7 linked regions of the Sus scrofa genome follow. The protein of the gene in region 1 interacts with the protein of each later gene in a biochemical or structural test. Links are inferred from orthologs where the notes say so. Each region holds a gene or a part of one and is shown in the gene's direction. Other genes may lie near its edges.

Region 1 (4,258 bases):
GCTTTGATTTGTAAAGGGGAAAAGCTTGAGTGAGATGAAAGTAGTTGTCTCACCTTGGTTCTTAGAACGCCAGATTCTCTGTTGTTGGAAGAGCTAGTCTTTCAGTTTTTATTGGAAGCATTGTGATAAACACTGGAAATGCTGCCACCTCTGGGGGGGCCTCCTCCACACGCGGTGGGGGTGGGGGAGGGGGTGCTGCGGGTCTTGGTGCGGTGGCACATTCAGGCCAGGCCCCGGCCTTGCTGCCCCGGAGGCTCACGGTCACAGCTCTGGCCTGGCCGCCTTCCTGGGCAGCCCCGTCCCACAGGCCCCGCTGTGTGGATGGGCCCCTTTGCTCTTGGCCTCCGGGCCTCGTGTCCGCGAGCTTAGCGGGAGAGCTTGGCTCCGTGCCGGCTGCCTCTCCCATGTCCTCCGCCGCCTTCGAGGGCACCTTGTCATTCTGCCGGGAGAGGAGCCGTCTGCGGCGGCTGAGGGAGGAAGGAGCTCCGTCTGCTCCCCAGGACTTGCCCGACCGGTGCCCCCACCACCAGTGACCTTCACAGGGCCCCTCGTGCCCCGTGGCCAGGGTGACGGAGGGATTCAGTGACCCTGGGTGGCGTAGACCTGCTGGATCGTCATCCGCTTGCTCCCTGGGAGGGTTGAGACACCGCCCAGATGAAGAATGAGTAACGGGTTATGTTGACTGTTCTCAGTTTTTACTAACCTCAAACCAAGTTCTCGTGCATTACTAGGTTGGAGAAACGTATGGTAAGGATAGACCCTCCAGGGGCAAAGACAAGCGCTTGCCGTATGTAAAACTTTCAATCGACTTCAGTTTCCAGCTTGATCTGTTCTCTCGTTTCACTTAGTTTTCCTAGGATTTCCCGTCGAGCCTCCCGGTCCTTGAGTGTTTGACCTCTGATTCACTCAAGGTTGAGGTCGGCTCGATGAAACGTGCTTTCACTGGAGCCCATGGTCGACCTGCTGGCCTGAATCAGAGCCGTTCCCAAGCTGCTTTCTCCCCTCCTCTCAGGGCACGGGGGCTTTGGTGGAAGGGGCCCTCTCCAGGCTGCTGGGGAGACGCGAGGCTTCACCCTGGCGCCCCGGCCACGGGCTTGGCGGGAGCGGGACTAACCACCCTGGCGGCCCTTCCCCCGCTTCGGTGTTGGGTGCGGGCCTGTCCGGCGGGCGGGCTGTGCGCTGCTGAGCTCACCGGCCCCGCTTGGAGGCGTGATCAGCCCAGGGCCAGAGGCCGTGGTGGTTCCTGGGCAACCTTGTGCATGCGCTCAAATTTCATGTCATTTACAAAACGCTGTCGTGTGGGAGGTCGCTCCCTTCCAGGTACAGGGTGTCAGCTGAGGATTGAAAGTGTGTGCACTTCACAAAGGAGTGTCATTGCCCTTTTCCAGGAAAATAGTTCATAAACCTAGCATTTTAGAAACTTTGGCTTATTTTTTTTTTTTAAAAAGGATGTGTAAACGTTTAAATCTCACCTTTTGCACAATAAAGTGCATGTTCTCCAGAGGCCCTGCTTGGGCCTGAGAAGCCCTGACAGCCGGCGAGACGCCGCTTTCACACGAGGCCGTCCTCCCTCCCGAGGGCCAGCGGGTGAGCGAGGACCTGAGACCCACCTTGGGCCCAGGGCCCTGACGGCCGGTCCTTCCTAAAAGCAGTGTAGTTGGAGCCGCGTGAGCCCCTAGAAGTGTTTGGACCTAATGTTCTGATGGGGACGTAATGAGAAACGTAGCGTTGTAGATGATGTTTTTGAAATGGATTCTACTTTTGAGGAACCGAGACCAGGTTTTAAAGAAATGCAGGCGTAGCACCTTGACACAGGATTTTGTCCCCAGGCAGGAACAGCATTAAGCTCCCAGGCAGAGCTGGAGTGATGGAAAGAGGCCTGTCTGTCTGTGGCCTCCAGTAACAGAGCGTGTCTTGTGCTCCACTCCCAGTCTCACCAGTAACTTGTGCTTCACGTGCTGGTTCTGGTCTGGGAGCGTCTCGACCAGAGAGGGTGCAGGGAGCCGGCTCGCGCCTCAGCTGCTGGTGCGCAGGACGAGCCGGGGCTTCTGGCGCTTTCCCCGCAGCATTTAGGAAGCAAAGTGACTTCGCCACGCCAAGACCATTCTCTAAACGCCTCCCTGTGTTTCTTTTTACAGGACGTATTCTTAATTTGCTTTTCTCTTGTGAGCCCTGCATCTTTTGAAAATGTTCGCGCAAAGGTAAGTGGGATATTTTATTTTTATTTTTTATTTTTTCGTCTTTTTGTTTTTTCTAAGGCTGCACCCTTGGCATATGGAGGGTTCCCAGGCTAGGGGTCCAATTGGAGCTGTAGCCTCTGGCCTACACCACAGCCACAGCAATGCGGGAACCGAGCCGCATCTGCAGCCTCCACCACAGCTCACGGTAACGCCGTATCATTAACCCGCTGAGCAAGGCCAGGATGGAACCCGCAACCTCATGGTTCCTAGTCGGATTCGTTTCCACTGCGCCACGACGGGAACTCCAGCAAGGTGACTTTAGTATGCAGAGTTCTCAAGTTTCAGGGCCGATGCAGAAGTGCTGGGTTCCTTGTTAAAATAACGAGGCAGTTGGGAGCCAGGTGAATAAAAATGACGGACTGGCGGCACCGGTGGGCTTGGTGGAGATGACGGCGGTGGGTCAGGGATGCGTCTGGCGGGGAGGAGACGGTAGAGCTGAGTCCTGAGTCCTGCTAGTTTGGTTCTCATCCTCGAATGTGTGAGGGGTTTTGAAATGACCTAAGAACTTGACCAGAAACCAAAAACAGAGTGGCGGGCGGGGGGCTGCCTCGCCGGTCCCACGGTGCAGTGGTTGGTGGTTCTGGAGGGGAGCCTGGCCGAGGGCAGCGTGCTGTCCCCTGCAGGAAGGCTCCGTGGCGACGCAGGGACTCGGGATTGACACAGCTTGGCACCGGTGTGGCCGTAATCGGCGGGAGGGCGGCTCCCACCAGAGTCGTGACTTTGCTCCTGTCCCCGCGCCTAGTGGTACCCAGAAGTGCGACACCATTGTCCCAACACGCCCATCATCCTGGTGGGGACGAAGCTTGATCTCAGGGATGATAAAGACACGATCGAGAAACTGAAGGAGAAGAAGCTGACTCCCATCACCTACCCGCAGGGCTTGGCCATGGCGAAGGAGATCGGTAGGAAACCCCGCGGCGCCAGGTCTGCTTGGCCCGCCAGAGGCCGGAGTCCCGCCCGGGGAGGTGGACCCGGGTCTGGCCGCCCCTGCAGAGACCCGGCTGAGCCGGGGGGTGGGATGGGGGGGCGAGGCCGAGGCTGAGAGGCCGTGTTCCGTCCGGCAGGTGCTGTGAAATACCTGGAGTGCTCGGCGCTCACGCAGCGGGGCCTCAAGACAGTGTTCGACGAAGCCATCCGAGCGGTTCTCTGCCCGCCCCCCGTCAAGAAGAGGAAGAGGAAGTGCCTGCTGTTGTAAACGCCTGGGGCCCGGGGCGGGGGCCCGTCCCGCCCCGAACCTTTGTCTGCTTTGCTCAAATGTGGAGCCTTCGCACTCAATGCCAAGTTTTTGTTACAGATTAGTTTTTCCATAAAACCGTTTTGAACCAATCAGTAATTTCTAGGTTTTTCTCTGTTTAAAGTGTAAGAGTTTAAACTTTCACATTCTATTAAAGTTTAGCCCTAAAATGACAAGCTTTCCTAAAGCCTTATTTTTCAGAAGCCCCTGTTCTTGCTCAGATGAAGAGTTGCCAAAATCCCTTGTGAGCCAAGTTGCGTTGTTGGGCTGAGAACACTAAGCACTAAGCTGTTGACAGAGACCTCTCTCCCTGCGAGACCGTCCCTTCCGAGGCCGGCGGCTTTCCACCGTGAAGGGCGGGCGTAGCGCCTCCTTCGCGAAACGTCGCCACGGAGCGCACCCTCGTCTATCCGCCCGTGCCCATGACCTGACGTTGTACTGTGCGTCCTGGCGAGGAGGTGACAGCGCAGCTCTCTGCATCAAGCTCTGATTGCGTAGTGAGGGTTTCTTTAAGCGATGAGTGTACTAGCTTTCGTGAGCCTTGAACTGAACTCCTGCTCACGTGTTCCCTCCGGCGAGGTGTTCTGGCCGTGGGTGCGCGGGGTGGAGCGTGGGGAGCGCCTGTGATCGAAGGATGAAGACAGTATTTTGACAAGATACGGAGGTTAATTTACACTACATTGTACACGAAATAGTGAAACTATTGAAAGTGTCACGGGTACAAGTTTTAAAAGGTTGATTGCTGTCAAGTGAGTAGATGATGAAAGGCTGGTGTTATCAGTTA
Region 2 (4,546 bases), on another chromosome or scaffold:
AAATAGTAGGGGTTTGTTTTTGTTTTTGTTTTTTGCTTTTTGGGGCCGCACCCGTGGCATATGGAGGTTTCTAGGCTAGCGATTGAATTGCTACAGCTGCCAGCCTACACCATACCCACAGCAACATGGGATCTGAGCCTCCTCTGCGATCCATACCACTACACCACAGCTCACGGCAACGCTGGATCCTTAATCCACTGAACGAGGCCAGGGACTGAACCTGCAACTTCATGGTTCCTAGTTGGATTCGTTTCTGCTGTGCCCTGGGAACGTCAAGAAATATTAGTTGGATGAACAAAGGGACTGGATATTTGAGCTGGGCTTTGTAGAATGAATAGGTGTTGGCCAGTGAGATAGAGCAGGGCTCAGAGACACGAAGACATGTTTGTCCAAAGAACATTAAGTAGTATTTCCGTGTGGCTGGAACAAAAGATACCACGTAAGATGAGGCTAGAAAGGCTGGTGTAAGCACCAAGGTTGTGCAGTGCCACATTAAGAATGTGGATTTTATTGTGAAGCACAAAACCCTTTGAGAGTATTTAAAGAGGGAAGGCTTTCGTCAGATTTGTCGTTTTAAAAGGTTACTCTGGTCACTGGTAAGTACGGTTGAATCTGGAAGACTGAAAGCCGCTCTAGTTGTCTAGGTGATGGCAGTGAGTGAAGAGAAGGGCGAGATCTTGGGAAATATTTAGGAGACTCTACAGGACTCGGTGACAAATTTGATGAGCGTTGAGAAAGAAGAATGGGGGTTTCTGGCTTAGTGTACTGCTGAATGGTGGTCCATTCACCAAGACCAGAAAGTAACATGAGTCACAAGTTTTGGGGAATATTGTAGTAGGAACAGTCTACATTCCAAAGGGCTTAATGGTGCTAAATTGCACTTACTATTATTATAAAACGGTGACTCAGATCAAGTTACCCATACACAGGTACAACTTAAGGAGAAACTGTGGCTTAGAAATGTTAAGATCCTATCACCAACATCTGTACAGCTGGAATCTGAAGCAAGGCAACTTAATTCCAAACCCTTAGTCACTAACGTTGTTTCAGTTTTGGACATGGGGAATTTGAGGTACAGTGCAAACATTTCATTAGGAAACGCAGAATCTGAACTCAGGGAAAAGGTTTGCGTAGAATGCGACCTCCGTTGGTGTAGGAAGGCGCGAAAAGCTGCCCATTCTTTTCTACCAGAGCACAATAGTTGAAACCTCCATTAACATTTCTTTGCCCCTCCTCCAAGAAAGCCAACAGTGTATTAAATGTCCAGTTCTGAGGTCACAGGATATGGGGTAGCTTCCAAACTCAGCGCTTGGCAACAAGCTAGCAGATGCAGTGGTGCTTTATAACCAAGAGGACCACAATCCTATGGGATTGGCTGTCTTTTTCGACCCCGATTCCACCACTGTCGCCCCTTAACACCTCCCACAAACATCCTGGGGAAAGCCCGCCTTAAAGGAGCCTGCAGCTGTAGCGAGCGATAGCACTCGAGGAGAGACGGGGGCGCAATGACGTCATGCGGCAGCGGGTGATTCCCCAGCCTCTGGCGTCACGCGCCAATGACGTCATTCCAGGCGCTGGCCCTCCCCCAGGCCTGGGTTGGCTTCGCTCACGTGGGTCGGTCCAGTCCTCCCCGCCCCCTCCCACCTGCAGGAGGCTGGGCGGGCCTGGCTGGGCCGGAGCCTCGGCCTCGCGGGGGAGGGGGCGGGGGGCCGGTGGGCGAGGCGGTCCGCCCGGCCCGGCGGCGTACAATAGCTCGGCGGAGGCCGAGGCGGGGGCCCGGGCCGGGGCTTCAGCTGGAGACCCAGGTGTCGGTAGCACCGCAGACGCCCCCTCACGGTTTCCCCCCACAGCCCCCTCCCCCTCCGCCCGTCCGTCGCGCCTCCCCGCCGCCTCCCTCAGCAGCTCCGCCGTCCTACTCGACAGACGCTTTCTCTCAGACTCTTACCCCCTCTTTTGCGGAGCCCCTCAAAGAACCCTCTGTCTCCCCACCTCCTCCCCCGGAGGCCAGTCGAGCCCCTCGCCTCTCCAGCGGCCGGAGCCGCACCTCCTCAGCGGCGTCGCCGGGCTCCCTCCCTCCCCCACCTCACCCCCGGGTCGCTGACCACCCCCGCCCCCGCCCGGTCCGGAGCGGACTCCCCGGCACCAGCGAGGCGGGGAGGCGCCGAGTGCGCGGCGGCGGCGGCTGAGGCGGCGGGAGGGGGAAAGTGAAGCGGCCCCTCGCACACACTCGCGCGCTCGCTCCCCCGCTCGGCCGCCGCCGCCGCCGCCGGCGTGGAAAAGGAGGAGGAACCGAGTGGAGCCGAAGCTAAGCGCGGAAGGTGAGAGCCGGCCTCCCGCGCGGTACCCTTGGCGTCGCGCGGTGCGGGGGCGGGGGCGTCGCGGGGCGTGGGGCCCATTCATTCCGGCTGCAGGGCTGGGCGGGCGGGGGGCGCCAGGTGAGGCGAGGCGGGGGCGTCGCCCCTCGAGGCTGGCCGCCGCTGTCGGACCAACAAAGGCTCCCCGTGCGCTCACCCGGGCGGCCGCAGGTCTCAGACGCCGGGGGGGGGGAGCTGAGGGACCCGGCGGCGGGCCGAGGCGGGGAGGGGTCGGGACCGCTGGTCTGGGTCCGGGACTCCCTCCCGAACTTTGCGGCCCCCCGACGGGGAGCCTAGCAAGGCAGCGTCAGATTCATTGTGCACGAAAGAAATCACCCCGGTCCAGGCCAGGGGGGCGGGGGATCACGTCTAGGGTTCAACTCCTTGAAAAATACTGGATGGTGTTTGACTCACGCGGCCCCTCCCCCACCCCGGGAAGACGCTCACTTGTGGCGTTAAAAACAAACTGGGAAAGGAGAATTGTGGCTGTTTCATGTTGATTATTCCATTTCAATAGGCGCTATTATATCCTTTACTGTCTGGAGTAGTTTCACAGCAGACATTGCTGGGGTGTTTTGGAAGAACACTGGAGACGTTCTGGGTGTTTGGAAGTGTGGAGAGCCAAGTGCTTGTTGTTTGTTAAGCCCTTTGGATAACTGTCTTACACTTTCTCCTCCCACCCCCCCGCCCCCGGAACAGTGAAAGGTGAAGGCAAGAGTTGGTACCCTGGTACCAATAAACATTTCAAATTCACTAGTTTAGCCTTTAAGAGTTGTTTCTGAGAAAATGTGTAATTTTGCCTCCGGTGTCTTTGGGCTCTCTCTCGACTTGGTCAGGAGAAAAAGGAGTCAACAGTAGACACATGCCTCATTGGTCTTAACTTGTGACTTCACCTACTTCCTGTGTGACCTTGAGCAGGTCACTTCCAGTCTTACCGTTCCAGGAACTTGTTTTTGTGCCCTCGAAGCAGGCGGGTATCCACCACCTACTTAGCTTTCAGGAGTCTGCGGAAGAATTACCCCCATTAGAAGTCTTTGCTGGCACCACCCCCATACTCCTCTCAGGCAAAACTTTCTCTTTGGGCCCCTCAGAGGCCTGCTTGGATTTCTACCACAGCACTTTTTTTGTTCACATTTGGTAAATCCTGAATCAGGTGCGAATGAAATCAGTCTCTCCTCAACTAGAAACTATACTTCTCAAAAAGGGTTTTGGAATCATGGACCCCGAAACATTCCCTGAAGCTTATCCATGTCCTTAACTTTTGTGAGCTCTTGGGTCTGTCTGGGAAATTTGCCTATTTAGTCATTGATTTACCCAACATTGCTGGGATCTGAAGAGCTACTGTTTCAAGTTTCCTGCTAGGGCTGTGGGGATTTTGAATCTATTAAGATATTCCCTGTCTTCACAGAGCTCAAAGTCTAGTGGGTGAGGTAGCCATGTAAACAGTGAAGGCCTTCCGTCCTCTCTGGGGGCTCCAGTTGTACAGGGAGCAGTGTGCAATAATTGAGGCTGCTGGACCTGTTTTACAGGTCTTGTCCTGGCCAAAGTGAGACCTGCGGGGAAGGTGGTGACCTGCCTCTCATCCATAAGATAACACTTGACAAAGAGCTTGTTCAGTTTAATTCAGTATACACTTACTCAGCACATGTTATGAGGTTCTGTGTTAGGTTTGGAGGAAGGAGTGCTTTCTACAAGGAGGGCACTGTATATCCAGAGAGATCTTTGTAAAACAAAAACCAATCATTTCTCCCCACCCTCAACTGGTCATTTGCTAAAGAAAAATTTTAAACTCTGATATGAGTAGGAACCTCTTGGAGGTTAGAGTACTGCCTACCTTTGCAGAGGCTCATTTTCTATAACCCTCTGCCCCCCTCTTCTCATCTCTGCTTTTGCATGTGTTGTTCTTTTTGCCTGGAATGCCACCTTCTACCTGCCTGTGGAGAAGCACTTGTTGGACCTCTGGGAAGCAGTCCCTTAGTTTCTCCTTCTATTATCTCCGTAGTAGAGTTGCTCTTCTCTATTCCATGGCTCATGTACAGACCACTCTTATAGGTCCCTATAGCACTCTATTGCAAATGTCTAAGTTTGTGCCTGTCTTTTCCATTAATCTGTGAATTTCTTGAGGGCAGGATCAGTTTAGTTTCAATGTCTACTGAAGTTCCTGGTGCTGAATAAGTGTTGGAAATGAATGT
Region 3 (4,228 bases), on another chromosome or scaffold:
TTTTTTTTTTGTGGTCTTTTCTAGGGCCACATCCGTGCATATGGAGCTTCCCAGGCTAGGGTTCGAATTGGAGCTGTAGCTGCCGGCCTACACCACAGCCACAGTAACATGGGGTCTGAGCCCCATCTGCAACCTACATACACCACAGCTCATGGCAACGCGGGATCCTTAACCCACTGAGCAAGGCCAGGGATCAAACCCGCAACCTTATGGTTCCTAGTCAGATTTGTTAACCACTGAGCCACGACAGGAACTCCCAAATTATGCATTTTCTAGAAAAATCCATGACCAGAGATCCCAGTTATTTGTCATTCTGTTGTGCGGCAAGATGGCATGAGAAGAGTCAGGTGGGATCATTAATTGACTGTTTGTGGCGGGCTCTAGTATTTAATTGACCACTGTGTGCTGGATATTGTGTTCCAAGTTTTAAAGGCATCCTTTTAACGCAAACTATCCCTGACATGGCGGCATTACCCCACTTCGCAGTCGAGGTAATTGAGGTTTGGGGAGCGCTAACTTCCCCAGGGCCACCGAGGCAGGGAGAGTGGAGCAGGATTTTGAGCCCACCACAGCACATCTTTCATAGGAGTGACAAATTGGATTTGAGCACTGCCCTCCCTGCCCTCCTGTCCCTTCCTATCCAAACGGCTGACCACACAGCCAACCAGAACCAAACCCCCTTCCACAAGCCTCCACTTCTCCCAACAGTGACAGGCTTTCAAATCCAGCCTGGACCTCAATGATTGTAGTTTGGAAAACAGCAAATTGTGTTGGCCCTTCTCTCTTTTAAAAATGAGAAGCTAATGTCATTTTCTGTTTGAAATCTTGCCCATTTCTTAATAGAAGGACTCAATATGGGTCAAATCCTTCCTTTCCCTTTGATGCTTGGCTCGAGCCCCTCCCAGCCCTCCGCTCCCATAGCGCTTGGAACTTTGGCATTCATTTGGCATTGCTCGTCACTCGCCTGCTGACCTTCCCTGCATTCCTCCCGCAGCCTGTTAGCAGGATACGCTTCCCTGTGTCCCAGAGTCTTTGGTACATTAGGCACAAAATGCCTGTTTCTCAACGGTTCTTTTCTTTTTCTTTTTTTGGTCTTTTTAGGGCCGCACCTGCGGCACCTGGAGGTTCCCAGGCAAGGGGTCGAATCAGAGCTACAGCTGCCCACCTACGCCACAGCCACAGCAACGTGGGATCCGAGCCACATCTGCGACCTACACCACAGTTCATGGCAACACCAGATCCTTAACCCACTGAGCAAGGTCAGGGATCGAACCTGCAACCTCACGGTTCCTAGTCGGATTTGTTAACCACTGAGCCACGACGGGAGCTCTTCTCAATGGTTTCTTAAAGGATACAAAAAAGCAAACTATTCCTCTCCAGGGAGGAACTTGACGGGTGTGGATCCTGGCACCCAGAGCAAAGCCCTGGCTCCTTTTTGCGTTTTCTCCAGTTTTCCATGACTTGGGGATGTTAGTGTGTCCCTGTTCTGAGAATCTGGTATTCGTTGCCTGCATGAACAGTTTGAGTCAGACCACAGAGTCCTCCCCATACAGGACAAGAAGCTCCAGAACTTTCCATCTATATGTGCCAGCATCACCCTGCCTGTGTTTTGGCTCATCTGTGAGTTGGATGACTCTCCTTGAAGCAGGACAGCCCCATCATCCTGCTGATAACAGTAATCAGATCTCATAGCAAAGACCCTAGTTAGGCAGGGCAAACAGGGAGGCAGCCCGGGTTATTGATTTGTGCTGTGGAAGGTTCTTTTCCATTGAAGGTTGAATATTTTGTGTGGAAACCTTTGTATTCCCTGTACCCAGCATATTTCTTCTCTGCACGTTATGGGAGGTAAGTCCTTTTGAGTATCTCCGTTATCTTATTTGCTTAGTCAAAACCTTGGAAGTAAGGTTTGGGAAACACATTAGCCATATTTAGTGTATGCAGTGGGCTCAAAAGTTTTACTCATTTTAGATAACATAGGAGAAAGTGTAAGTTATTTCATAGTGTACCAACCATTTTCAATGGTGTTTTTTTCCTATCTTTCATATTGCCTGCTATTTAAAAAATAGTTTCTGGAGTTCCTGTCATGGCGCAGTGGTTAACGAATCCGACTAGGAACCATGAGGTTGCAGGTTCGATCCCTGGCCTTGCTCAGTGGGTTAAGGATCCATCGTTGCCGTGTGCTGTGGTGTAGGTCAGAGACTCGAGGCTCAGATCCTGTGTTGCTGTGGCTGTGACATAGGCTGGCAGCTACAGCTCCAATTAGACCCCTGGGAACCTCCACATGCCACAGGAGCAGCCCTAGAAAAAGGCAAAAAAAGACAAAAAAAAAAAAAAACCCAATAAAAAATAGTTTCTCCCTGGGTACCAACATTAGCTATAGAGGATGTTTTTCTAGATAAAAATGACTTACTATGCTGTGCGTTTTCAACTTAATCTTTGCATTTGGAAAATAATACTCTCTGGGTAGCTTTGAAGATAATAAGAGACATGAGAATGCACAGATGCTTCTGCACCAGTCCTAAGGAGGGCTTTTCCAGATGTGGAATGCCGCTGGGGATTTGATCTGGCTTGGATAATTGACAGCTGCCAGCCTGTAATCGTTTGTGCTCAATTGGCGCTGGGGCCACAGGAGGCCACACAGCAGCTGGGCTGTTGGGATTCAAGTCCCTGCACATGGCACTGACTCTCCCCTTCCCACCCACCCCCCAGCCATCTGCAAGGACCCCACTCCCCAAAGCAGGGTGCACTGCTCCAGGAAGGGAAGGGAGCCTGTAACTTTTGCCTGGGAGATGAGAGAAAACATCTTGATTCACTCCACTGGACCACAGTGGCTAATCAGGGTTAGCTTTTTATTGCATTGACTTTGGCGTTTTAATCTTAAATGATTCAGAGACCAGTTCTTAAGATGAGGCAGGACCATAAATTAAAAGATTGGAGGATATCAGCCAAATAGAAAAAAGAATCCTCTTTCAGGGCCTTGAAGAAGGGCCTGTTCCTTGTCCCAGCTCTTTCATTTTAGTGACTGTTAAACCTTATACCGAAACCAAGTTAATGGCTTTCTGCCCCTTCATCGCATCCTGGTTTGCCCGCCGGGCTAATACCACCTGCCCTCCCTCCTTCACAGGCTCATTCTGAGGATCAGAGAAGTTAATGCAAATGCTCTGTCCACTGTCAAAGCAATTGAAATAGAATGCACAGATGCGTCAAGACACGGTCTCTGGTCGGCACTGTCTCTGTCTTGCTAATGCTCTTCCTCTTCTGAATTATGGCCTCCATCGTAAAGGCTTCTGATAATAGTAATAGCTATCATTTGCTGAGCCCTTTTTATGTGCCAGGCGTTGAGCTAAATGCTTTCCAGGTCTTGTTTTATTTAATCCTCCTGATAACCTCACCGACGGGTACTCATTTCTTCAGTTCATATAAACCGGCTTCTGAATCCATCATGATCTTCCAGACCAGCCCAGGCACTTGCCTTTCATCTGCTTTCTAAATGAGGGAGCTACATCCTTCATCTTCAATTTTGACGTGTTTAAAATGATTTCGAATGTTACCAATAGTTGAATCAGGAGTTCCCGTCAAGGCTTAGTGGTTAACGAACCTGACTAGCATCCATGAGGATGAGGGTTCAATCCCTGGCCACGCTCAGTGGGTTAAAGATCTGGCGTTGCCATGAGCTGTGGTGTAGGTTGCAGATGCAGCTTAGATCCCATGTTGCTGTGGCTCTGGAGTAGGCTGGCGGCTGCAGCTCCGATTAGACCCCTAGCCTGGGAACCTCCATATGTTGTGGGTGCAGCCCTAAAAGACAAAACGACAAAAAAAAATAATAATAGTTGAACCATTTTTTAATGTTGGAATGCACCATAAAGGCAGAAAGCCTGGTGTCCAATTGTAGTCACTGAGGAGAGTGAGAGAGCGAAGAGAGGGCAGAGTCGGGGGAGAGGAGAGAGAGAGAAAGAGACAGAACACATGATGAAGAGAAAAAGATGCAGTTTTTTTGTGTGTGATGCGAATAGTGATTTTCTAATATTTTATATGCAGCTAATCCTTAAAAGAATATCATTAATTACTTAATGGGCTTTTGAGGTTCATAGAGCAGGAGCTTTGGAAGTACATGACCTTGATAGTCTTCATAAGAGCTTAGAAGATGCTTCAAGTGAGACAGTACCCAGGACTTCAAAACTTTGCTGAAAGAGAAGTGATTAAAATTGGGGGGAGGGGGTGTGGACAA
Region 4 (4,299 bases), on another chromosome or scaffold:
GGGAGTGGTTAACGTTCTAGAACACCCAGAAGTCCTATAGGTTTCATCTGTCTGGGGCTACTGACTTTCGAAGAGGTAGTGCCTAAAAGCCCTGTGGTTTCTTAATCCATGGTCCTTAATATCTCTAAGCGAACCATTTAAGTCAGACAGATTTAAGGACAGAGTTCCCATTTTCTCTGCCGTCTGGGCACGAACCAGCGTCTTGTTGCCAATTTTAAAGCTGTACCCACAGACCTTCCTTTAACCAGGTGCCTGGGAATGCTGAGGTTTTCCTTCCACACACAGAAGGCAACTTCTCCCTGCCCAGAATATCAACCGCACAGATTACAGCAGGTTTATTAGCTCCAGGAAAAGGAGCAACAGTACCTAGCTCTCAGGCAACTCCTCATTCTCTACATACAGGCTCCATCTTGCCCAAGGTCCACTGCTCCTTCAACGTGAGGGTCCATCCAGTGCCTCCCTTCTCAGCGTTGAGGACAGCTAGCTGCCAGATGGCGAGGCTTCTGGCTGTTCAGCAGCAACACCTGGCACAGCTGAGGCAGCCTCGTAGTCAGCGATGCGGCGCTGTACCAGGGCAGGCATGAGCTGCACGTAAGCGGCCATGAGGCGGTGGTTGGAATGGATCAGCTTCCCGGCACAGCTGTGCAGACAGGCCTCCTGGAAGGAAGACAGGGTGGAAGTAGAAGCCAAAGGTGTCCAGTCAGGTCCGTTTCCCTCCTTCCCATCCCCAGCCTCAGGGCGGAGGTCGTGGGAAGCCAGGGCCGGACGTAGGGGAATTGACGGGAGAGGGAAGCAGTGCACGGTTAGCTCTGAGGCTCGAGGAGCACTTCCCTACTCAGTTCCCCCACCTAACCTCCTCGGCATCCAGAGCTCGGTGATGCAGGCTGGGCACGCAGCGCTGGAAGCAGAGTTCCGTCATCCGATTGTAGACCAACAGGAAGTCCCGCAACTGGGGAGGAAGGGGGACAAGGAACTCAGCGAAGAGGGGGCCACGTCTCAACTCAAGGCCGCGCTGCCGGCGCTTTCCCAGGACCGTGTACCACGGCCCGTGGTTCCCAGCCCTTGGATGCCTGGCTCTCTGGGGTTTCCGCCATGCGAACAGGGATGCTAGCTGGATGCAGGGCCCTTAAGCGACTTAGCTCCCACTCACGTTTCTCAGCTGCTGCTGCTGCTGCTGTTGCTGTTCCATCACGCCGCCGGCGCACAACCTACGTCACTTCCGTTACAGCTTCTAGGGAACGCCCCGGAAGTGACCTCAATGGCTCCCCAGGGGCAGAGGGGTTGGCTCAAGGAGCGCCCGCCCACCTCCCCGCGACGTCACTTCCGCCCTCATAATCGGCTACGTGGCCGGCTTCTTCTGCCCGGGAGAGGACGTCACTTCCGCCGAGTCCCTGACCTGCTGCTAGGATCGCGACGGGAACTGGATCCCGAGATCCCCGCGCGGCCCGGGCCTGGCGCCCTGAGGGGAAGAGCGGCCCGGCCCGAGGTGAGAGGGACGTGCATGGGCGAGGGCAAGGTGAACGCACGAACCTGACCTGAGGGCAAGATGCTTCTGAGCCCTGGGAAAGGATGAGGACACACCTGACGCCCAGGTGTATGGGGGGAGGGCGGAGACTCACACACCTGGGGAGACCTAACTGACTTTGGAAGGGATCACCTCCCTATGTCCTGGGGCAAAGGGACTTTTCCCCGGGGTCGGGAACTTACACCAACTGATTCAACTAAGGCCTGGGGCGGGGGTGGGGGCAGGAAGAGGGGGTGCATGGGATGGAGGAGGGGGAGACCACCTGCAGGAAAGAGGAGGAGACATTAGAGGAGTGTGAAAGGCCAAACAATGGCGAACATACCTGAACGGGGATAGGCACCTGAGCGCTGGGAAAGGGATTGTCTCCTGATGAGGAGGAATACCTGCGTGGGGATAAGCTGCTTGAGAGCACAGGCTTTCTCTCCATTGCCTCAAATAGTGCGTGGCATGTAGTAGGCACTCATTAAATGTCTGTGGAAGGACTGAATGCATGAATGATCCCTGGACTGCTGGGGGGGTGGGGGTGGGGGGGTCATGAGAACATGACCTCTGGTCAGGCACACCTGAGGCCTGGGTGCCTGTGTGTAAAACTTTGCACCTTGGAAGGGAGAAAGACAAAGCCCCGAGGGAAGAGTGGTGGGCAGACCCCACCACACTGAAGCCCCGGGACGGCCTCTGCAAGGGCAGGGGAGACCTTCCTCTTCGGAGAACTGGCCCGTTTCCAGAACTGTCTGTGTTGGGCTTTGCAGGGCGCTGGGGTGGAGACTTTGACTCCAGTCCCTTCGCTCGCCATGACGGACGGGATCCTAGGGAAGGCAGCCACAATGGAGATCCCCATCCACGGGAATGGTGACGCGGGGCAGCTTCCTGAGGATGATGGGCTGGAGCAGGTGCTTCTGTTTGATTCTTCACATTGTTTCAGTTGAGGAATCCCAACTCTTAAACCCTGAGCTCTCTCCTTCTTCCAGTAGCCTTCCCCCAACTCACCTGATTTCCTTCAGTCTTTTTACCAATCTTTGTTCTGATTCTGTGCAGACTTCCCTTGTGTGCTCTCTCTATGATGCTTCAATCCAAGCTTGTTTTCACCCCCAAAATGCTTCAGCTGCCCATATGTTCCTGAAGCCCCCCTCTTCTCTGGCCTATAGGACCTCCAGCAGGTGATGGTGTCAGGACCCAACCTCAATGAAACCAGCATTGTGTCTGGTGGCTATGGGGGCTCTGGTGATGGACTCATCCCCACAGGTATGAATGATCAGAGCAGGATAGGGCATTGAGTGGAGAGGGGAAGAGGACTGGCTCCAGGGGGCATAGGATACGTCTAAGAAGGCGTGAATCATGTCTGGAGCTCGTGGGAACCTCTGCCAGGATGAACCCGCGGGCATCTCAGCCCAAGGCCCGTTCCCAGGGGTGTCCATCTGCCTCCACTTGCCACTTTGTCCCTCAGATATGCCCACTTGTCCCTTCTCTGCCGTCACTACCTGAGTCAGGCAGAGAACTCTGTTCACCAGGCCTCCCCTGCTCTGGAGCTTGAATCTGATTTGGAGCTTTGAGAGGCTTATCAGAGTCTTACGTTAGACTCTGCTATTTAGAGGAACAAGCAGCCCTGAATCTCGCAGTGACTGGGATCCACATGGGAATGTCAGCCAGGTGTTCGGTTCGAGGGGCGCCCAGCCATGGTCAGCGACCCCATTCTCAGCCTAGTCTCCGCTGTTTCCTCTGCCCCTGCACACGAGCAACCCCTCCCACCTCCCTTTCCAGTCCTCACCTCCACGTCAAAAGGAGGCCAGGTGTATGTTGGGATTGGGTCTCAGGGTCCAAGGCATGAATTCCTCCTAGTGAGTCTCCAGCCCTGCTCCTTCCGGGGCGTCATTTTCATGTGCTGGGAGGGAAGTGTGGGTGGAACCACAGAGGCGTCGGATTGTGTCTGAGAGAGGCTGGTGTCAGAGAACTTGGTCCTTTAGGGTCTGGCCGCCATCCATCTCACAGCGCCCCTCCTGCTGGCCCCGGGGATGAGGTGGCCCGGGGCATCGCTGGAGAGAAGTTCGACATCGTCAAGAAATGGGGCATCAACACGTATAAGGTGGGATTCACGCACCTCCTCCGCCCCCTGAGCTCCCCCGGGTACCTCTTCCCCATCTTGCGGATCCTCCTGTCCCATCATCTCGGGCTGAGACTTGGAGTCTGGGGACGCCGGGGTAGACACTTGCTGCGGGGCAGGGCCGGGCGCCAGGGTCTCTGACCTGTTCCCCCACTTCCCACTCAGTGCACAAAGCAGCTGTTATCAGAGCGGTTTGGCCGAGGCTCCCGGACTGTGGACCTGGAGCTAGAGCTGCAAATTGAGCTGCTGCGTGAGACGAAGCGCAAGTATGAGAGTGTCCTGCAGCTGGGCCGGGCCCTGACAGCCCACCTCTACAGCCTGCTGCAGACCCAGCATGCACTGGGGGATGCCTTTGCTGACCTCAGCCAGAAGTCCCCAGAGCTTCAGGTGCCTTGGGCAGGCCAGAGGGGGAGGGGGGCCTGGGCCCGGGGCCCTCCCAGGCAGTCACCCCTCAGCCTCCCTCCTCCCTCCCTCCTGCAGCCCAGAGGGAGAACCCCTCCAGGGTGGGCCCAGCCCCGCCCCCAGCAGCACTCACCAGTGGAGGCAGCCTAAGGGTTTGTACGGAGGTCCAGAAGTCGGAGGGGGTGGGGGAGGCGGCACACTAGGTGCCTCGCAAATAGCCCTTCTCGGCCTCGGCGAGAATGCCTTCGGTGCCCAGCCTCATCGGAGCCGCTCC
Region 5 (3,800 bases), on another chromosome or scaffold:
ATAAATAGGTTGCTCTTTAAGACTGATGTTTTTCAGACCCTCTGATGGTAGTGTTGTTTACCTTTACAGATCAAAACAGATAGAATCTGCCTGCTTCAGTGGAACAGCAGCTTTCATGGAAGTGAGAATTCAGTCTGTGGTTGTTGAGTTCATTCTCAATCATGTTGACGTGCTCTTCAGTGGGAAAATCAGTGCTGTCATTCAGGAGGGGGCAGGTATGGCTCCAACAGATGTCGTTTACTACCAGGAACATGTATTAAAACTTCTGGAGTTCCTGTCGTGGAGCAGCGGAAACAAATCCAACTAGGAACCATGAGGTTGCGGGTTCGATCCATGGCCTCGCTCCGTGGGTTAAGGATCCAGTGTTGCCATGAGCTGTGGTGTAGGTCACAGATGCAGCTCAGATCCCGAGTTGCTGTGGCTCTGGCGTAGGCCGGCAGCTACGGCTCCGATTAGACCCCTAGTCTGGGAACCTCCATATGCCATGGGTGCGGCCCTAAAAGGATAAGCAACAACAACAAAAAAAAACTTTTAAGAGATTGGGAAACGGTGATTCTTTTAAGAGATTGGGAAACTTTTAAGAGATTGGGAAACTGTGATTCCTCAATTTAATAAATGGGCCTTTGGTAGATAGAGTGTAACCAACTTATATCTGTTTACTCTAATGCACTATTTAATAGTTATTTTATGCATTTTTAATGAATACTAAATATTAGACCTATTACGATCTAAGTTCAGGGTACATTAGAAAAAGCGTATCATGTCACCTACCACTGATATATGTAAAGGTACAATATAGAGCTGCAGAAGAAAAATTCCTTCTGAAACTAAAAATGCATGAGTGATACTAGGCCTTGCCTGCTATCTTTTAAGAAAGGAAAATAGTTAAATGACTTCAGGAAATACATATACATATATGTATATCCTTTTAATAACCTGGTATGTCATCTTCTATTCCTCACTTAGTATAAGGCTCTATTACTTTTGCCATTTAAAAAACGTTTCTTTTTTTTTTTGCCTTTTCTAGAGCTGCACTCACAGCATATGGAGGTTCCCAGACTAGGGGTCTAATCAGAGCTGTAGCCCATGGTCTACACCAGAGCCACAGCAACGCCAGATCCAAGCCGCATCTGTGACCTACACCACAGCTCACGGCAATGTGGGATCCTTAACCTACTGAGCGAGGCCAGGGATTGAATCCACAACTTCATGGTTCCTAGTCGGATTCGTTAAACACTGAGCCATGATGGGAACTCCCATTTTAAAAACTTAAGAAAATTAAAACAATACAGAAAGGTAGGCAGATGGGTGGACAGATAACCAGATTGTTATACACTCACTCACACATTTATATTTTTCTCCTGAATTGTAAAGTTTGACTATTTCAGTGGTTTTTTTTCTTTCTTTTTTAGAAATTTATTTAATTTTTTTTCCTTTTTTCCGTTCTAAAGCTTCTCTTTCAAGACCCAAGTCCTTGCTGGTTTCGTCTCCATCCACCAAGCTGCTGACTCTGGAGGAAGCCCAGGCGCGAACTCAAGCTCAGGTCAATTCTCCAATTGTAACTGAAAATAAATATATCGAAGTAGGAGAAGGACCTGCTGCACTTCAGGGAAAATTTCATACCATAATTGAGTTCCCACTTGAAAGGTAAAATTCAATAAATCCTCCTTAAAATTTTGAGTTTCTGGCTATGTATTCTTTTCTTTTACTGTTACTTTTATGTTTAGTTAATTTTCTGCCAGTCCCAGAAAAACCTGTTCATTCTGCTATGGGTATTACTTCATAGGGACTGGCATGAATGAGTCTCAAAAAGCACTACGACGTTGTGTCATTGTAAAGGAGAGGAAAGTCAGTTGTTATCAAGGGAAAATTGTTGGGAAAAATGATATACTTCCACTCTGTAGGCTGTGATTTTCTCTCTGAAATATGTTGTTGAGAAGTTTATTTAGAAATAAACTATTGGAGTTCCCATCACGGCGCAGCAGAAACTAATCCGACTAGGAACCATGAGGTTGCGGGTCTGATTCCTGGCCTTGCTCAGTGGGTTAAGGATCTGGCATTGCCACAAGCTGTGGTGTAGGTCGCAGATGTGGCTCGGATCTGGTGTTACTGTGGCTCTGGCGTAAGCTGGCAGCAACAGCTCCTATTCGACCCCTAGCCTGGGAACCTCCATATGCTGTGGGTGCAGCCCTAAAAAGACAAAAGACAAAAAAAAAATAAAAAAGAAATGAACTATTGTGACAGCTTATTCCAAAAGTAATGAATAAATAATGGCTTGTTTGACATTGGTTCCCATTAAGTCTGGGATAGATCAGCCCTTCACACAGTGCGAGCTCCTGGCCAGCAGCTCACTCTCGGGCCCACCCCAGACCCACTGAATCTGAAGTCTGGGGTGGAGTCCAGCAAACAACCTTTTGATAAAGACCTTCCAAGTGGTTCTGATATGTGCAAAACTTGAGAACCACTGTTGTTCACTCTCTCAGTGTCCCTTCTAGCTCTGATTCTCTGTTTCTATAAAGAAATGTATCTTCTTTACCAAGTTATCGTGGAAAGACTAATGGGTGCAAGTTCATTTTGGTCTCAGTTACTCCTTTAGCTATTACACAGGAATGTCAGGATTTCAACTCCCAGGATGGGGGAGTACTAATAAAGGTGCAGAAGTTGTTTCCATATCTTAGTGTACCTCTCCAATGTCCTTTCATTTCTCTTGATTAAAATGGCCCGCCAGGAGTTCCTGTTGTGGCACAGTGGTTAACGAATCCAACTAGGAACCGTGAGGACACGGGTTCTATCCCTGGCCTTGCTCAGTGGGTTAAGGATGCTGTGAGCTGTGGTGTAGGTCACAGACGTGGCTCGGATCCCGCCTTGCTATGGCTCTGGCATAAGCAGGCAGCTACAGCTCCGATTGGACCCCTAGCCTGTGAATCTCCATATGCTACGGGTGCGGCCCTAAAAAGACAAAAGACCAAAAAAAAAAAAAAAAAAGTCCCACCAACAGAAACTTAGAACATACTCTTTTACTTTGTCATTCTGACAAATTCAGCTTCTTGAATTTATATTTTACCTCTATAATTTTCTCATGAACTTCTTTATAGAACAGTGAGCAAGAGTGTTGATGCTGGGATACAGATAACCCTGAGCTGGAGCCCTCACCCCATCATTTACTAGGTTTACATTAAGGAAGTCATACTTCTTAGATCACAGTTTTTTCCTTAGCTGTAAAATGAAGGTAATAGTACCTATCCTATTTGGTTTTATATGACTTAAATGAGATGCTACAGATACAGTTAGCATAGTGCTTGGCATTCAATATATGTCAGTTATTATTCTTAATACTTTTCTTCTTTTTTGGCTTAACTCTCTTTACCCACGCCTGAAATCATTTTCTTCAACTCCGTTTTATTTTTGAAGTTTTAGTATTGCCTTTTCTCACTTATTTCACAGATTGCGACGTTGGATCTAAATATGACAATCTGTATAAAAATTATCTTCGTGAAACTAGTTCCTGTTATCAAAGTCCATACATTTAATTTCGTGTTCTCTCTTGCTCTCGCTGCACAGTTGAGCCACACTGGGTGGCGTGCGCCTTGGGACGGTGGATATTTACCGCATCAGCGGTGGCTCTCCAGGCTGTGTGGTTCTGTCCTTCATTTGCTCCTTTTTAGGAGGGAAAGATAGACCCTGGGAAATCTGGATAGAGATTATTTTTTTTTCTCTCATAGGAGGAGGCCTCAAAATAAAATGAAAAAATCTCCCGTGGGCAGCTGGCGTTCCTTCTTCAACTTGGGAAAATCCTCATC
Region 6 (3,800 bases), on another chromosome or scaffold:
CAGTAATGCCCGATCCTTTAACCCCCTGTGCCCAGCAGGGGTCGAAGCTGCCGCCTCGAGCCTCTGCATTTGGAGGAACCCGCTGGGCCGTGGTGGGGATTTCAGGAATTTTCTTTGTTTTTTTTTTTTTTTTTACAAACACGGGGATCGGTCCCTAGTTTGGCCGAGCCCGGGATCAGCAGGCAGTGAGCAGTACAGGGCCGCGTGTTGCCTTCCTCATCACCACGCTGCCCGCGCAGGGGACGCCTCCTTTTGTAAGACTCGGGCATCTCTACCAAACGGAGTGCCTTTTCGCAAATGTGACTCGGTGGCGATTAAAGGTGGTGGGTGGCCTGTCTGGGTCTGGCCCCCCAGCATCCTGCTGTTCGTGACCCAAGCTCGGCCGTGACCTGAAGCAGGGCCAGGGGCACCGGCTCCCCGCTTGGCCCAGGTGGCCCAGGAACGGAGTGCCCGGAGGTTGGGCGAGGTGCTCGGGATGCGGGGTTACCTCCCTGGGACGGTTTGAGCGGAGCGAACATGCCGGGCGGGGGTCCTCTGACGGTGACCGGTGTGTCTGCTCTCCCCGCCCTGTCCTCGCAGCTCCCCTCCCACTCCATCACCCCGTCCAGCAAGCACGCAGACAGCAAGCCGGCGCCGCTGACCCCCACCTACCACACGCTGCCCCACCCCTCCCACCACGGCACCCCGCACACCACCATCAACTGGGGGCCCCTGGAGCCTCCGAAGACCCCCAAGCCGTGGAGCCTGAGCTGCCTGCGCCCCGCGCCGCCGCTGCGGCCCTCGGCTGCGCTCTGCTACAAGGAGGTGAGCTCCGCCTCGGCCGCGCGTCCGCCCAGGGAATCCCCGTGTTTCTGCCGCGACTTGAAAGATAGATGAGCTGCTTGGGGCCTGTGAGGGGTCTGCCTTCGTTCTTGTTCCTGCTCCGAGGTGCGGGGCCCGCTCCGTGCCCCTGGCGGAGGGGCCGTGTCTGTGCCCACAGGGCCAAGCTCAGTGCCCACTGCCTGGAGGCCAGGGAGCACTCCGCTGGGTGTGGCCACGAGCTGGCGGGTCCAGGGGACCGGACAGCTTTTCTCTGTTCGTTTTAAATGAACGCCTAGCGGCCGACAGAGGAAAATCAGGAGTGGGGGGAGGGGCGCTGCCCACCGGCCGAGTGCCCACCAGCTCACGGCGTCACGGCAGCACCGCGCCTCTGCCCGCGGGCCTCCCCCTGCAGGGCTTGCTCAGCACGTCCTCCCCCTTCTCCCCAGGATCTTAGCAAGAGTCCCAAGACCATGAAGAAGCTGCTCCCTAAGCGCAAGCCCGAGCGGAAGCCTTCGGACGAGGAGTTCGCGCTGAGGAAGAGTGAGTGCGGGCGAGGGCCCGGGCCGGCAGGCACGGCGTGGGGACGGGGTGGCGGCTTCCTGGAGTCTCGGGCGGCAGTCAGCGCCCAAGCCACAGGGCCAGCGATGGACGCTGCCGTACCGACCCCACAGCCCCCGTGTGCCGCAGAGCCCAGGCCGGGTTGGGACCCCGTGGCCGGGGGCCCTGCTGTGGGGCCGGCCTGAGCGCCCCCGTGCCAACTTGCGAGGAGCCAGAGGCAGCCTGGCCTTTAGGCCCCGGCCTCTCGGCCTCCCACACAGAAGATGCTGGCTGGACCATGTGGGACCAAATAGAGTCATTTCTTGGTGCTGACGCCTACCTCTGGGCAGTGTTGGGCCTGCCCCGTGTGTGTGTGTCCTACCGTGGCAGATGGTGTGGAGGTTGTTGGCACAGCTTATAAACACTTCGGCCTTCCATCCTTCCTGCGTTGTTTTTTCAAAATGTATAGGTAGGATCTCAGAGAAGGGGAAAGCCTAGTGAACAGAAAACAGAGTGTAAGCCCCGACGGTGTGAGGTGTGCTGGGCCTGAGGGTCTGAGCCTGTACACGCCTGTGACCTCGCGGGCCGGTGGAGCCAGGCTGGGGGAACCCACGGTTTACGGTGGAGCCGTCGCACACGTCCTGGATCGCGTCCAGCAGGACTTTCCCGACGAGAGGAAGTGCTGCTGCTGACGCCTTAGCCCCCTTGGTCAGGTGGCCCTTCCAGGGGTCACTCCTCCCTCCCAGATGAGGCTGGAGGGGACTTTTCCATTCCGGATTCGCTCGTGCTCCTGAGGACGCGCGTGCGTTCTCGTCTTCGTCAGGGGATGTGTGAGAACAGGAGTTTTAATTTTTTTTTTGGTCTTTTTGTCTTTGTTGTTGTTGTTGTTGTTGTTGCTATTTCTTGGGCCGCTCCCGCGGCATATGGAGGTTCCCAGGCTAGGGGTCGAATCGGAGCTGTAGCCACCGGCCTACGCCAGAGCCACAGCAACGGGGGATCCGAGCCGAGTCTGCAACCTGCACCACAGCTCACGGCAACGCCGGATCGTTAACCCACTGAGCAAGGGCAGCGACCGAACCCGCAACCTCATGGTTTCTTGTCGGATTCGTTAACCACTGCGCCACAACGGGAACTCCAGAACAGGAGTTTTAATTTTCACTTCTTTTCTTGTGAGAATGAGCATTTTTCTTTCCTACTGTGTCCTCTTGTGAATGGTTTGTTCCTGTTTCGTGCCTTTTTTCACTGTCAGGATAGGGCATCCTGTGCCTTGGGGGTGAGTGAGGCAGCTCATGTGTATTTAGCGTAGGAACGCTTTGCCAGATAGGTTGCAGATAAAAAATACGTAGAACAGGAGCTCCCGTTGTGGTGCAGCGGGAGCAAATCTGACAGGTGTCCATGAGGATGCAGGTGCGGCTCCTGGCCCTGCCTAGTGGGTCGGGGATCTGGTGGTAGTGTGAGCTGTGGTGCAGGTCGCACATGCGGCTCAGACCTAGTGTGGCTGTGGCTGTGGTGTAGGCCGGCAGCCACAGCTCCAACTCTGCCCCTAGCCGGGACCCTCCATATGTGCGGGTGTGGCCCTAAAAAGACAACACAACAGCAGAAACAAACAAAAGTCCTTTAGGATGTAACTGTTTTGTGACTATTGGAAAACACCTGTAAGCTGTCCCTGTCATTGGTTAATGATCCGCATTCCTGGGTTACCTGTGCTGGTTGTTTCTGGCCGGTGACGTGTCGTGTGTCCTTGCAGGCACGGCTGCGCTGGAGGAGGACGCCCAGATCCTGAAGGTCATTGAGGCTTACTGCACCAGCGCCAAGACGCGCCAGACGCTCAACTCGAGTGAGTGCCCAGGGACGGCCGGGGCCCCGGACTGGCTCGGCTGAGCAGTCCGTCCCTCATGGGGGCGCATCCTCGGCCAGCACCCCTGCATCGTGGGGATGGGCCTGAGCTGTTCAGTAAAAGAGCTGATTTCTAACAAGCGCTCCACTGGGAAACCTTGAGGTGTAAGGGCCGGCCAGATTTAGAAACCCTGTCAGGCTTAGAAGGCAGTGGGGGGAGTCTGTCAGCTCAGAGTGTGCCGGTGGTGTGTTGGTTTCTGGCTACTTAGAATTGTTGCCAAAAACATAAGCCTAGGCCATTCCTTTTGTGGCTCAGCTGTAACGAACCCAACTACTATCCATGAGGATGCAGATTCGATCCCTGGCCTCGTTCAGTGGGTTAAGGATCTGGTGTTGCCGTGAGCTGTGGTGTGGGTTGCAGATGCGGCTTGGAACTGGCGTTGCTATGACTGTGGTGTAGACCGGCCGCTACAGCTTCAGTTGGCCCATATGCCGCAGGTGCGGCCCTAAAAAGAAAAAAAAAAAGCCTAGAGTAAGTTCTTTTAGCCAACTCCCCCTTTTAAAAATGATTGCATTGAGAAGTTTTTGAGATGGGTACCATTGAATTCACCTGCATCTCACTGGGC
Region 7 (4,234 bases), on another chromosome or scaffold:
TGAAGTAGCTTATTTGGCATGCTAAGGAAGTTGGACCACATCCTGAAGGGAGTATTAGCAAAAGACTATAAAATGGAGGAACACGGCCGTGTTTGCACTTTAGAAAGAACAGGGAGTTGGTTGGCATGAGGGAAAACAGAGGTGATGACAATCTAAACAATGTAATCACAGTAGTGATGGAGACAAAATCAAGACACTTCAGAAAAAAATACCGATTGCCTGTAGGGCGTGAACCAAGCGCGAAGTTTCGACTGAGAACTGAGCACCATTAACAGATTTTAACAGGAGGAGGGTCAGTGTTTGACACGTTTAAAATGTTCGTGGGCTTCACAGGTTAAAATGTCCATTACACAGCGGAAAACGATGAGCCAGGGCTTCTAGAAAGTCTGGTCTGAGAATTACATTTAGAGTTCCTTAGCATTTTAAGGTGAGCGTGGATAAAGCGGGCAAAGAAAAAACAGAAGAGGGCTGAGCACAAAATTCCGTTGAATTCCAATATTTTCAGGGCAGGCCACAAGTTGCAAGGGAAGAGGCATCCCTAAAAGAGGCAAAGAGTGCCCTAAAAAGAACTTGCAAAGAATAGTGGCAAGGAAACTAAGGGAAGGAAGTCTGGACAATTCTCCTGCTCTAGCATCCACTTCTCAAATACTTAGGGGAGTTAAGCAGTTCAAATCTGGCGACTGCTGGCGAATCTGGGAGAAGACTGAGTCAGACTGCCAGACTGTGCAGCCCCTTAAGGCAGTTTGGGTCTTGCCTCTGTTCACAACAACACGCTGAGCCACTTCAAAGGAGGCCTTCCCTGAGCACTCGGGTGCAGAAGAGTTTGGCTAGGCAAGCAGGAGAAGGAGGGTGCCCACATTTTTTATTTCAAGCTACCGACACTGGTGGCCTTTTTGTAGGAGGTGCGGTTGGGGCGGCGGCCGGCGAGGGCAGGGATCCAGAACGGGTCGGGGCCTTGTCAGTGGAGCGGAGCTGACAGCAAGATTGGCGGGCAGGCTCCACCTTCTTCCTTCCGCCTCTTGAGGGCGTAGCGGGCGCAGGGCGGGGGCTAGTGGAGGCGTTGGGAGGGTCAGGCCCCGCCTCCTTTCGCTCACTCTGGTCAGCGCGGCAAGGCGGGGCCGCTGGGGCGGGGCCTGCGGGTGGGGCCGGCGGTGTGGGGCGTGGCCTTCGGGTGGGGCCGGTGGCGTGGGGCGGGGCCTGCGGGACCAGGGCAGCCCGCGCACTGTGCAGGAGCAGCAGCCGCCGCCGCCCTCGCCTCCAAGGTTTTGCTGCTTCCTGAGCAGAGACCCGGGCTCGGCCGCCATGTCCGCCACGGACGAAGTTGACGGACTGGGCGTGGCTCGGCCACACTATGGCTGTGAGTGCGGGCTCCGCAGCGCGGGGGTCTCGGGGCCGGGCTCGCTGCTTCCGAGGCGCCGTTTACCCGGGGGCTCGCTGGGCGGGTGGGGCAGGGTGGCTGTGGGCCGCGCGTACCCGGAAGAGCCGGTGTCGCGGGGTGGCGGACGGCAAGGACCCTAACCCGCGCCCCCTCGGTCTCCGAGGCGGCGGCGGGGGGGACCCAGGCGACCTCCCCGCCTTCTCCCGGGCGCTGCGGCTGGAGGGCCCCACCCAGCGCCTCCCGCTACTCAGCTTGGCCAAGATTGGGGAGACGGCCTAGGGTGAGGTGGCAGGAGGACGGGGCAGGGCGTGTCCCAGGGACCGGAGACGCGGGCTCTGCACGGGCGTAGTGAGAAGGTGCTGCCCGAGTGCTGCCTGCGAGGTAGACTCAGGGTCCAGACCTGCCCGGCCCCAGGCTAGCTGAAAGGTGCGGTCTTGGGCAGGTCACTTCAGCTTTCTCGGGATCCCTCTGCAGGATTTCAAAAGTGGAGGGGAAAAAACCCCAAACCTCCGACTTCCTCATTTTCCGAACCTCATTTTCTGTACCTGTCCCACTGAACTGCGGGCGGATTAGTTACCACTGGGCAAAGGAGAGGCCTTTGGAGTCTGGAGGTTTTCGATTTTATTTTATATTCTATGAATAATGTTGTGTTTTCAGATACTTTCACTCAACAGTTATATACGACGAGGTATTGTGTCACGTTGGTGACAAAGATGAGTAAGACCAGACCCTGCCTTGAAAGAATGTTTTTATCAGAGAGACAGGCAGGTGTACTATCTAATGATAATAAGGAGTGATAGAGATGCCCTGCACCAGCTGGACTTACACTATAAGGTGGGGGTGGGGGAGGGGCCTGGGGAAGGCAGGAGGAACCCAGAGAGGACTTTTGAACAGAGCCCTGCAGGATGCTGTGCGTTTTGACAGGGCAGGGTGGGGCCTGAGACGTGACCTGAAGAGGAAGAGTGTGAACTAAGGTATTGACGAGCAGAAGAGCCCTGTGCGGGTTGGGAACTGAGCGGTGTGGAGTGCACAGTGGTAGGGGGAGGGGAGGGAGAGGAGTTTCCCAAAGCAGTCCGGCTAAACTGGGACAGGCATTGAATGCCAACCCCAGGAATTTGGAGTTTATTCCATATCCTGGGTGCCCATAAAGGGAAGCAGATTCCTTTGAAGTTAAGCTCATAGGCTTTTGAGACAGACTGGGTGTGAATCCAGGCCCCACCATTTAGAAGCCATGGGGCTAAGATCACCCAGCCTCACTTTCCTCATTTGTAAAATGGGAGTGATAATCACAGGATTGTTGTGGGGCTTCCCTAAGAGAATGCATGTAAAATGCAGATCACAATTACACCACTTAGTTTCTCAATGACTGCTGGCTGTAATTATTAATACAAGAGGGAAAAACATGAAGAGCTCTGGATTTAGAAGGAGTCTGGCGGATAGACCAGCACAGATTTGGACCAAAATCTCAAGTCAGTATTTTTCAAGTCACCCTGAAATTTAGTACATGTTCATAATATTGTAGTTTTAAACAAAGATTAGGATGCATATGGTCGAACTCTGTGGTTCCTGTCTTAGGAAAGTCCCTGTAGGATGCCTGGCTGTGCACACATTACCCTGACTCTAGGTGGCTAGCAGGAATTTGATGCTGTGGCATTCTTTTATCACTCAGGAAGGGTACAGATTCTTGTGCTGACCTTCTTTCTTTCATGTTCTAGCTGTCCTGGATAATGAGAGACTTACTGCAGAGGAGATGGATGAAAGGAGACGTCAAAATGTGGCTTATGAGTACCTGTGTCATTTGGAAGAAGCAAAGAGGTAAAGATTGGCTGGCTGGAGAGAAGATTGGGAGAAGGGAGCTGATAATGGTGTGAACAAAAATAAAGATCTCTGGGTATGTTGTAGATGTGCCTGTAGGAGGCTGGTAGTTGGAAGAAATAAGTAAGTATAGATAGGATAGGGTATTTTTCTTTGTTTCTTTTTTTTTTGTCTTTTTGCCTTTTCTTGGGCTGCTCCCATGGCATATGGAGGTCCCCAGGCTAGGGGTCTAATCGGAGCTGTTGCTGCCAGCCTACGCCACAGCCACAGCAACAGCAACGTGGGATCTGAGCCTTACCTTTGACCTACACCACAGCTCATGGCAATGCCAGATCCTCAACCCACTGAGCAAGGCCAGGGATTGAACCGCAACCCCATGGTTCCTAGTCGGATTTGTTAACTATTGAGCCACGATGGGAACTCCGAGGATACGGTATTTTTCACAGGAGCAAGTAGCCTTCATGGCACTTTATCATGAAACAATCTGATGGGCACATACGTATCCTAAAAATTTCCATATTTGTGTTTTGCAGTTTTATGCTTATGGTGCATGTTTTGGGCACTACCAGCTCTAGGGGAGAAATAGCATTTTTAAGATTTGAAGTTTTTGGCCTTACCATTTCACTGGTTCTTCACCGGTTTTGTTTTATATATGAATTGGGTCTCTTCTCCCCTTGGTAGTGCTCTGGGTATAGGTCCATCCATTTGGCAATATTCAAAGGCTGTTTACCAAGGGCAATGTCCTCTGCATTCTTTGTGAAGTAAATGTACAACTGCTGTTTTCCTTTTTCACATGCTCCAAGACCTTGTGGTCTTATTCTTAAAAGTGTGGATTTGCTGTCAGTGGTTCATTTCTTTTGTTCTGGTGCTTAAGTTTCTTTCAAGGCCCCAGGGTAGACAGATGTAATTACAGATCATGTACCCTATAAGTGAGCTTTGGTAGAGAAGGCCAGCAAGGGATAGTGGGAGGTTTTTGTTGTTAAGTCTAATGAAAATCAAGGATGTTTCAAACAGTGCTAATAAACAAGAGTGTTTTTGTCT

What was found.
Region 2: the proteins of RAC1 (region 1) and PAK1 form a complex in vitro, tested with the Homo sapiens proteins (17 studies listed by BioGRID and IntAct). The link is inferred for Sus scrofa from reciprocal best matches to the Homo sapiens genes RAC1 and PAK1.
Region 3: the proteins of RAC1 (region 1) and CHN2 form a complex in vitro, tested with the Homo sapiens proteins (2 studies listed by BioGRID). The link is inferred for Sus scrofa from reciprocal best matches to the Homo sapiens genes RAC1 and CHN2.
Region 4: the proteins of RAC1 (region 1) and ARFIP2 form a complex in vitro, tested with the Homo sapiens proteins (2 studies listed by BioGRID and IntAct, with this or other methods). The link is inferred for Sus scrofa from reciprocal best matches to the Homo sapiens genes RAC1 and ARFIP2.
Region 5: of the proteins of RAC1 (region 1) and ARHGAP32, one has a biochemical effect on the other in vitro, tested with the Homo sapiens proteins (3 studies listed by BioGRID). The link is inferred for Sus scrofa from reciprocal best matches to the Homo sapiens genes RAC1 and ARHGAP32.
Region 6: the proteins of RAC1 (region 1) and ARHGEF7 form a complex in vitro, tested with the Homo sapiens proteins (2 studies listed by IntAct). The link is inferred for Sus scrofa from reciprocal best matches to the Homo sapiens genes RAC1 and ARHGEF7.
Region 7: the proteins of RAC1 (region 1) and IQGAP1 form a complex in vitro, tested with the Homo sapiens proteins (3 studies listed by BioGRID). The link is inferred for Sus scrofa from reciprocal best matches to the Homo sapiens genes RAC1 and IQGAP1.

Annotation. Positions count from the first base shown.
Region 1 is NC_010445.4:4,782,442-4,786,699, reverse strand, and holds the end of RAC1 (ras-related C3 botulinum toxin substrate 3), read left to right. Parts: intron 1-731; coding exon of another isoform or gene 732-791; intron 792-2,138; coding exon 2,139-2,201; intron 2,202-2,982; coding exon 2,983-3,142; intron 3,143-3,304; coding exon 3,305-3,435; 3' UTR 3,436-3,647; downstream 3,648-4,258. UniProt on the Homo sapiens protein: Plasma membrane-associated small GTPase which cycles between active GTP-bound and inactive GDP-bound states.
Region 2 is NC_010451.4:11,970,249-11,974,794, reverse strand, and holds the start of PAK1 (serine/threonine-protein kinase PAK 1), read left to right. Parts: upstream 1-1,720; 5' UTR 1,721-2,318; intron 2,319-4,546. UniProt on the Homo sapiens protein: Protein kinase involved in intracellular signaling pathways downstream of integrins and receptor-type kinases that plays an important role in cytoskeleton dynamics, in cell adhesion, migration, proliferation, apoptosis, mitosis, and in vesicle-mediated transport processes.
Region 3 is NC_010460.4:43,439,706-43,443,933, reverse strand, and holds the start of CHN2 (beta-chimaerin), read left to right. Parts: upstream 1-1,401; 5' UTR 1,402-1,838; coding exon 1,839-1,845; intron 1,846-4,228.
Region 4 is NC_010451.4:3,248,680-3,252,978, forward strand, and holds the start of ARFIP2 (arfaptin-2), read left to right. Parts: upstream 1-1,331; 5' UTR 1,332-1,486; intron 1,487-2,274; 5' UTR 2,275-2,316; coding exon 2,317-2,415; intron 2,416-2,670; coding exon 2,671-2,767; intron 2,768-3,486; coding exon 3,487-3,605; intron 3,606-3,788; coding exon 3,789-4,010; intron 4,011-4,299. Other genes in the region: TIMM10B (mitochondrial import inner membrane translocase subunit Tim10 B), read right to left, coding at 481-657, 854-949, 1,151-1,189. UniProt on the Homo sapiens protein: Plays a role in constitutive metalloproteinase (MMP) secretion from the trans Golgi network. May have important functions during vesicle biogenesis at certain cargo subdomains, which could be predominantly utilized by secreted MMPs, such as MMP7 and MMP2.
Region 5 is NC_010451.4:55,918,215-55,922,014, reverse strand, and holds part of ARHGAP32 (rho GTPase-activating protein 32), read left to right. Parts: intron 1-69; coding exon 70-215; intron 216-1,451; coding exon 1,452-1,647; intron 1,648-3,722; coding exon 3,723-3,800. UniProt on the Homo sapiens protein: GTPase-activating protein (GAP) promoting GTP hydrolysis on RHOA, CDC42 and RAC1 small GTPases. May be involved in the differentiation of neuronal cells during the formation of neurite extensions.
Region 6 is NC_010453.5:77,514,343-77,518,142, forward strand, and holds part of ARHGEF7 (rho guanine nucleotide exchange factor 7), read left to right. Parts: intron 1-579; coding exon 580-804; intron 805-1,247; coding exon 1,248-1,341; intron 1,342-3,085; coding exon 3,086-3,175; intron 3,176-3,800. UniProt on the Homo sapiens protein: Acts as a RAC1 guanine nucleotide exchange factor (GEF) and can induce membrane ruffling. Functions in cell migration, attachment and cell spreading. Promotes targeting of RAC1 to focal adhesions. May function as a positive regulator of apoptosis.
Region 7 is NC_010449.5:53,019,329-53,023,562, forward strand, and holds the start of IQGAP1 (ras GTPase-activating-like protein IQGAP1), read left to right. Parts: upstream 1-1,150; 5' UTR 1,151-1,302; coding exon 1,303-1,357; intron 1,358-3,093; coding exon 3,094-3,193; intron 3,194-4,234. UniProt on the Homo sapiens protein: Plays a crucial role in regulating the dynamics and assembly of the actin cytoskeleton.